Linked DNA regions of Bombyx mori. The protein of the gene in region 1 purifies or fractionates together with the protein of each later gene. This does not show direct contact. Links are inferred from orthologs where the notes say so. Each region holds a gene or a part of one and is shown on either strand. Other genes may lie near its edges.

What was found.
Region 2: the proteins of intraflagellar transport protein 80 homolog (region 1) and intraflagellar transport protein 57 homolog purify together in Homo sapiens (affinity purification with mass spectrometry; 3 studies listed by BioGRID and IntAct, counting the BioPlex papers as one, with this or other methods). This does not show direct contact. The link is inferred for Bombyx mori from reciprocal best matches to the Homo sapiens genes IFT80 and IFT57.

Annotation. Positions count from the first base shown.
Region 1 is NC_085110.1:15,041,840-15,046,124, forward strand, and holds the start of intraflagellar transport protein 80 homolog, read right to left. Parts: upstream 2,952-4,285; 5' UTR 2,783-2,951; coding exon 2,688-2,782; intron 2,596-2,687; coding exon 2,428-2,595; intron 2,103-2,427; coding exon 1,996-2,102; intron 924-1,995; coding exon 745-923; intron 564-744; coding exon 474-563; intron 1-473. Other genes in the region: protein arginine N-methyltransferase 3, read left to right, coding at 3,616-4,285.
Region 2 is NC_085120.1:9,285,705-9,289,876, forward strand, and holds the start of intraflagellar transport protein 57 homolog, read left to right. Parts: upstream 1-1,320; 5' UTR 1,321-1,392; coding exon 1,393-2,514; 3' UTR 2,515-4,172. UniProt on the Homo sapiens protein: Required for the formation of cilia. Plays an indirect role in sonic hedgehog signaling, cilia being required for all activity of the hedgehog pathway.

The DNA of each region.
Region 1 (4,285 bases):
ACCTGTGCTGATAGCCTTGAAAGACTATTTCAGCTACGCCCAACATGTAGGTGAGCTCACAGGGCTCAAACCGGAGTGTTGCTGACACTGGCCCCAGCAAGAGCAGTGCTTCGCAGAATCTACCACCGGATCGAAAACGCGACCCACTGAGAAGATCCGGTAAGACACTCAGTGGGCTGTGACTGTGGGTTTATTCGCTCGACGAGGACGGTGACCGGTAGAGACAATGCGGTATCCTCGGAGATACAGCAGCTTGCCCGTTTCTACCGTGAAACAATCATGTGTTCTAGTTTGAAGGATAGGGAGGTCAAACAACTGTTATACTAAAAGTCATCGAAGATGCAAGTATATTTCCCACAGCAGTGTACACATATACTGGATTGTATATACCTAGGCTCTAATTATAGTCTACCGTCTTTTACTAATCAGTCTACTAGACTAATAAGTCACGAAATTAAAATTAAATAAATAACCTTAGTAAAACCATCCTCAGCCCCGGAAACAACCAAATTGTTATTTGCGTTCCAAGCCGTGCACAAAATGAGACCATCGTGAGCTTTCCACTGAAACCATTTACAAAAAATATTATAGTTAATATAGGTAAAGGATTAACTATAAAAATACACAGGAAACAATCAATATAATTTACAAACAGTTAATAAATAATATAGACAGATAACAAAAAAAAAATACCCTGAAACTAATCTCGAACACTATAATTTGAATTAAATCTCACTGGATTACCTTAACAATTTTACTGCTCGAACTCAAATGCTTGATAACGAGAAAGTTTTCTTTTGTGTGCAATATAGCGTTACTGTCTGGACTCCAGACGGCGTCGAAACATGGCACATCCGATTGAACCAATGTTGAACGAAGGAGACCGTTGCGAGACCAAATCTTCACAAAACCATCTTCGCCGGCTTAAAAAATGTTTAAACAAAAAATGTTTTTGTTTTCAGAATTTATTGACAGGTACTACAGTTTACCAGGTGCATATTGCTAATCGTTGCTTTAATCTCGCGCTTAGTGTTTTAATTTTATTGTTTCCGACATTTTGATTATTTTATAGATTGGATGTTCGTAAGGAGTACAGTATTATTCGTCGACATTTGAAAATTGTGCTAACTACCTTCTATGTATTCGATGTTGGAAAGGTTTCAATGTAACCAGTATGCTAGGCATACTATAGGTACTTAGTGGGAGTTTTTTAAAAGTTCTCGGTAGCGCAAAAGCTTTTTTTTTTGGTCAGGGTGAAATCGCCGAACTCCCACCCTCCACTGGGGATAGAGGGCGGGGTATGTGTATGTATGACCGATTTGGCTAATTTTGGTCTTGAATTATTCGTGGTAGTCCAGAGAAGGTTTGAAAGGTGAGAAAATATAAAAAAGCTCGGAATCATATAAAAACAAACAATTTTGTTTTTCTTTTGATGTGTCCCCTAGATATGTCTTTTATTTATCGATTGAGGCATTACGAACTCTGCCGGGTCAGCTAGTAAGATATACATATCTAGTCAAAGAGACGGTCATTTGGACATTATTGATTGTCATCGTGAATCGATGTCGGTAAGGTTATCAAAATTTTAATGAGAGAGCATCAGTTATTCATTCTCATTGTAAATTAATTAGCAGTAGAACAGCGAGAGTCTCTTGTCTGAATATAATGGATAAAGGAGGTCTCATCATTGCTTATTTTTATCCATTGGACTAGGTACTTTTAAACTACTTTTAGGTAAACTAGCGACCCGCCCTCGCTTCGCTTCGGATTATTCGGATATTATTGATTTCTCTACTATTTAATGGATGTTATTATACATATAAATCTTCCTCTTTAATCACTTTATCAACCGCATCAAAATCCGTTGCGTAGTTTTAAAGATTTAAGCATACATAGGGATACAGGGACAGAAAAAGCGACTTTGTTTTATACTATATAGTCAAGAAGATGATCAATAAATTAACAGCTATATTAAACGACTAATAATTTTAATACCTGTTAGAAGACCCGCTCCGTCTGGACTCCACTTTGCTGTGAGGCAAGCCCCCTCGTGAGCGGTCACCGATTTCTCTATACGTCCATTGTGATTTACTATATGAAATCTAGAAATTTTATTTTACATTCTACTAATATCAGAATCAATAAAAAATAAACGATTGCAATAATGGGTGGATCATGAACATTGGCAATTTAAGACACCTGCAGGTATTCATAATGAGAAAGTTGGAAAATCAAAGGAATCGTGGACGTCTAAATGGTTGAAATACGTAGTTAGAAACGGAAAAACAATAGGTTGTCCAAGCTACGGAATGAAATAAATGGAAGATTAATTTAATCGGGCCAAGGCCTATCTGTAGATCCAAACCTATTGAATTTGATGATCATAAATTCTTACTATTTATTCATTAATTAAAAAAGGAAACTTACTTGCCATCAGCTGTAGAAATCAATATGACATCATGTTGATGTTTACTGCCTCCTAGACTAGTTTTAGGAAATAAGTGCATGCTAGTCGGATAGAAATCATCAGGAAAAGTAGTTACCGGCAAGCATTCATTATTAACTAAATTCCACTTTAATAGTTTATGATCGTCTCTGGAATGTATATCAATACAGAATTAAAAATAAATATTTAAGGCAAAGCATTTTTATTTGTTATTTCACTTTTCTTATCCTATTTCCTTTACCCGCAAGAAAATACGTCCTCTGTATTATTCCAACAAACGCAAACCACTACACCGGTGTGTTTTGGTTCCTTGTGGGAGGAAATTTTAAATTTCATTCTGGATCAGTGAGTTGTTGATTTTGTACAGAGATTGAATTAATAATAAAAAAAGTATAATGTACTCTTCTACTATAGGAAAAATGCTACATCGCACTTAAATAAATGCAATTAGTCCAGAAAATACACGATTAGACAAAATGTTGCCATGGATACGCAAATACAACAAACTATTTTGTGTAACCTAAAAATAATTGTTCTAATTTGTGTTATTAATTGTTAAATAAATTTGTTGATGCTGAATATTTGCTATGATGTAATAATCAGTAATTGGCCATTAATCAAAAAAATTGCTATGAAGAATCGAAAATTGAGTTTCAGAACTTATAATGTATTTATAAACCCGTAAAACGATGGTGTTATTCATAATGTGATTTATATATTATGGTTTCCGATAGCTAAAAAGCCAATACCTATATGTTTAAATTGTAAAAACACAAAATTAAGAGATTTGGAAAAATATAACATAATCGCTGAAGAACACTTTTCTATTTTCTAAAAATTCAAATGAACTCATCAATATTTTATAATTTTACTAAGAGGTTAATTCTTAATATGTTGTTGCTTTATCTCTTTTTCTTTAATTTCATTTCATTTTACTTTCTTTTTACATAACAAACAAGGCTTCGGTCTTTGTTATAAAAACTTAATGTATGTGCAACATTCCCTTTGCCGATTTAATGAACAAATCAACAAACAATTTGAATGTCTAATGTCAATGTCAATATTCACATGCTGCCGATTGGGGAATCAATTTTATTTCAAGAAGAGTTTCCCATTGATTTTACGCTGAACATATACGTGTTGTCCGTAATTCAATATAATTTTTAATTATGTCGGATGTACCAGATCTTAGTAGTGACGAAGAGCATTTTGACGATGAAGAATGGCAAGAAATGGAAACCAGTAACGTGTCGGTAACATGCTTGTTTTGTTCAGAGCTGATTTCTTCTGTGGAAGAAGCTTTGGCCCACTGTGAAACTTCGCATAAATTCTCTTTAAGTATTCTAAAGCTCAAGTTTAATATGGACTGTTATTCATACATAAAAATGATAAACTACATAAAGACAAACAAGCCAACTGCTGAAGAATTTATGAAAATTAAGCACCCGCCTTGGAACGACGACAAGTATTTGAAACCTGTTGAGAATGACGAATGGCTCACATTCGACTTCGATTCTGTATCTGAAAAACCTAATTCCCCCAAAACATATCATGCCAATGTTGAGAATGGTGTTGTTACTCTTTCTCAGGGACATTTTACTGAATTACAAAAAACCATACAAACATTGAGCGAACAGTTAAGTGAGAGTCAAACTCATCTGCAAATGGCCAAGGAGGATATAAACAAAATGCAAGACTCAATGAAAACATTAGTTGAAGGCGGCCAGTCCTCAAGTTGTGAAGTAAAAAATAAAACAAGTTGTGTTGCGAGTATTCCTATAGAGTGTGACGAAGGATACTTTAACACTTATGCACACTTTGGAATTCATTACGATATGC
Region 2 (4,172 bases), on another chromosome or scaffold:
TCGTAAGCGACGGGTCCGATGAGGACGGTGACCGGTGCTTGAGGTAGGTACCTAAAAGCACCGTTAATGGATCGGGCGAAACCGTAATTACGTATAACCTTCTAGTTTCTATCTAAAGTATTGGTGGCAGAGCATCTTGCAGTCATTGGAATTGTCGTGGCCTAGATAAGACGCTCTTACTAGTATCGAACGATGCAACCATGCCAGTGTTCCAATACCGCAGGCAGATAAACATTTTTGTAATGAAATACGTACATAACACGTTTTCGTGTATGCCTCCCAAAGTGATGCAATAAAATCGTGTGATAAAAAAAAATATTAATTTGCGAAAACCGCGACGGTGCGTTAATCGGCCAATTGTTGCTCTGTTAATTTTAATATTAGCAGCTTTTTTTTCTTTGTTTTTATTGCCCTTATAGGCAGACGAGCATACGGCCCACCTGTGAGTGGTTGGTTAACGTCGCCCGTGGACTTCAGCAATCCCAGGGGCAGAGCCAAGCCGCTGCTTACCGCTACCACTACAGCTTCCAATCTCATCTTCACTAGTACATTTCGTTTTACATTAAGTTCATTTTCATGTCTCATAGACACAGTTAATTTCTTGTTGAGTACGCACCAGAGAATATGTTCAGCAAATTGATGAACACAACCGTTTCAAAATTATTAATGAATCTTAGTTTAACAATGGTTTAATTAAAATTAATCATACCGATATCCAAACATGGGTGAGAGAATGCGTAGTATTGTTCCCAACGTTTGTAATAATAATACAAGCGTAGAAAATGAGTATCAGAGCTTCTGTATTAATAAACCGACTTGATATAAGGAAACTAACTTGTTTAGAACCAAGAATACAGAAAAGGTTTTTTTTTATTGCTTATATGGATGAACAAGCTCACAGTCCGCCTGGTGTTAAGTGGTTACTGGAGCCCATAGACATCTACAACGTAAATGCGCCACCCACCTCGAGATATAAGTTCTAAGTATAGTTACAACGGCTACCCCCACCCTTCGAACCGAAACGCATTACTGCTTCACGGCGGAAATAGGCGGGGTGGTGGTACCTACCCGTGCGGACTCCCAAGGTCCTACTACCAGTTTAAAATCGTTCAATCGTCTTGACATATGAGCCCGAACCGGCAGCAAGAAGTTGTTATTTCATTTATTTTTCGATGTACCTATCACTTATTTCTGGAATTTGTGTAGTTCCTTGAAATTCAGTGCATTTACAAATCTAATATTAGCGTAATATCTATGTTTACCAACGAACTGTAGACCATAGATAATAAATACACTTCACATTTAAGCGGTGGACTGATCACCATAGCAACCGTAGCGAAGCACTTCAAAACAATCACGCATTACTTTTAGCGTAATTCAAACATTATCAACATGGATTTAAGACTTATGGATAAATTACGTTTATTAAAAATCGACACGGATCTGCGTCCCCAGATAAAAATGAAACCGTTGAGTCGATATTATTTCGTGACGTCCACTAATCCGAACGAACAGTTTTTCGTGTTTGCCTCGACAGCGGCCTGGTTGATAAGGAAGTGTGGCAAGGATTTCGCTCAGCCCAACGAAGAGGACGATCCTAACACAATCATAGCTGCAGTAATTGATGTACTCAAAGAAAACGAAGTTAATGTAGATTTCTCTTCGCATAAACTAAAACAAGGATGGGGCGATCAAGTTTGTAGTATCCTGAATATTCTCGCAGATGAAGCATTGAAAAAAGAAAACTTTGAATGGCAAAAACCAGTTGTTGACATACCAGAATCAGAAGAGTCGGTTGATGACATTGATCAAGTTGAAGACGAAACCGAAATATTACTGGACAAAGTTGAAGATGAAATGCCCATTTATTCTGATGAATCTGAAGGAGATATTAATGCAGACGAAAAAGAACCAAGTAACATAGCCCAAAAGGTTCACGATTGGGAAGCGTGGAAGTTGGAATTGGAAAGGGTCGCTCCGGCTCTAAGATTGAAGATATCCGCCGATGGACGCGACTGGCGAGCGAGACATGCACAGATGAGGAGTTACAAAGAAGAGTTATTCGATAGATTTAAAACAACGGGAACCCAGCTGAATAAATTGCACAGTAGCATTTCATCGGCTATGGATAAGGTAACGGCCAGGGAGAATATATTGAATGAGCAATTCGAGCCTCTTGTCAAAGAATATGGTTCTCTACTCGACGAACTAAACAAAGTGTCAAATGAATATAAAGAGGCCAGTGTAGGTATCACTGAAAGGCAAGACATGTTGAACGAGCTTTCAACAAAGCTAGAGAATATTAAACAAAGAACCGAATCTAAAGGGTCCTCGATGAACGACAATTCTCCTCTAGTTACAGCAAAGAAAGCTGTCGCGACCTTGAAGAAAGATATACAGGAAATGGACTTTCAGATCACGGTGTTGCTGTGGCTTCTGACAACAAAGGAATCGAATGGCAACAGTTTACTTAATAACAAGGAATCTGGGATGATTGCCAACGAAGTGTACTAAATACAATCTATACTAATACATCAATCTAGTGGTTTTTACGGATGTTCCGTTATAACTACTGAACCGTGCATCCGATTGACTTGAAACTTGGTATCCATGTAGATAATACATGTACTTAATGGATAGGCTAACATTGATGTGTTGGACTCCCTACACCAGTTGCGGGGGCGTTAATGATGAGAATTTTTGTGGGGTTGAGAAATAATAATGTTTAAATGCCCAGCGAAGCGGAGGGGTTCAGCTAGTTAATTATTATTTTAGATTGATACAGTATTTGTACGAAGTTTTTGGTGTGTCGCTATTAATGTTGGCAAATCGAATCCAAGGTTTGCCACTAAGCAGTCTCAACAAAATAATTCTGTCAAAACGAAATGGTTTGTTATTTGTTGAATGCAATGTATGGTTTAATACGACTATTTTGCCCGACTTTATTGGACTACCGAACAATGCATTTATAAGACATGAAATGTATTAATGTCTTGTTTCAATAACTGTTTGTAGTTTTTTAAGATTTATTTTGTCTCATGTATGCAAACTCTTCTTTGTACTACTAGGCTACTTTGGTCATATTGTCAGTTAGGAACCTAACAATTGTCACAAACTGGTGGCGTTGTGGCTAAAGTAAATTGCAAAAGGCCTCATAGATGCCCTTGCTTTTACCAAATGAAGACATTCATTGGCCTACCTCACTTCAGCTCTTAGAGTTGCTGAAAATCGACGACCTCAGTTAAAAGAAGAACACGATCAAGAAGGATCAGAAAAAAAATTGTAAATTTTGATGACATTAATTTTTATATTGGTGGGCTATAAATAAATACCTATCAGCGTTTTATACGGTTTTCTCGAGTCGTAGACATAATTAAAATTAATTCTACGATTTAATATAATATGCTTTTCATAGTTTTTTTTTACACGGACGTCGGGCCACGACAACTGTAAAAGTATTCGAAACTCTTTTTCTTTTTCTCTACCTTATCCCACTAGGTGGGGTCGGCACAGCAAATTTTTCTCTTCCATTCTCTTCTATCAGCCGTCATCTCAACACTCACTCCTCTCTCTCTCTCTCTCTCTCTCTCATATCGTCATTCACACACTCCATCCATGACCTCTTCCCCCTCAAAGTATTCGAAGCGTCGGATATAATAATTCTAGGAGTGAGAGGCTATTTGGTTTCAGCGACATATTTGCAACTTTACAGGACTCATATTCAAAGTTTAAAATTTGGAAAAAATATCATACCAAAAAAACTTCTTTAGCTATTTGATTGGGGTAAACTTAATTGAATAAAAACATCGAAGTGTTGATGCTAATACCAAATAAAACGGACCTTTAGTTACATCGATAAATGTCGAGCCAAATAACCTGTCACCCCACGATACAATGAAGAAAAAAAAAACGCGATATTAAACTGTAAAAGATATATTAATTAATATCTGTTAGATTTTTGAATTGCGACTTAAATATTGTATTACAAAAAGTATTGTACAAGTAGTATTGACGTCATTTTATGACCATTCCTTTGCGGTTGAGGCTGTCCGTTTATGGAATGCGTTACCCTTAAGCGTTAAACTATCTTCCTCGCCGGAAATTTTCAAGTCCAGATTGAAATCGCACTACTTTGCTTCTATGATATAACTGTATAAGTTCCTACTTCTTTT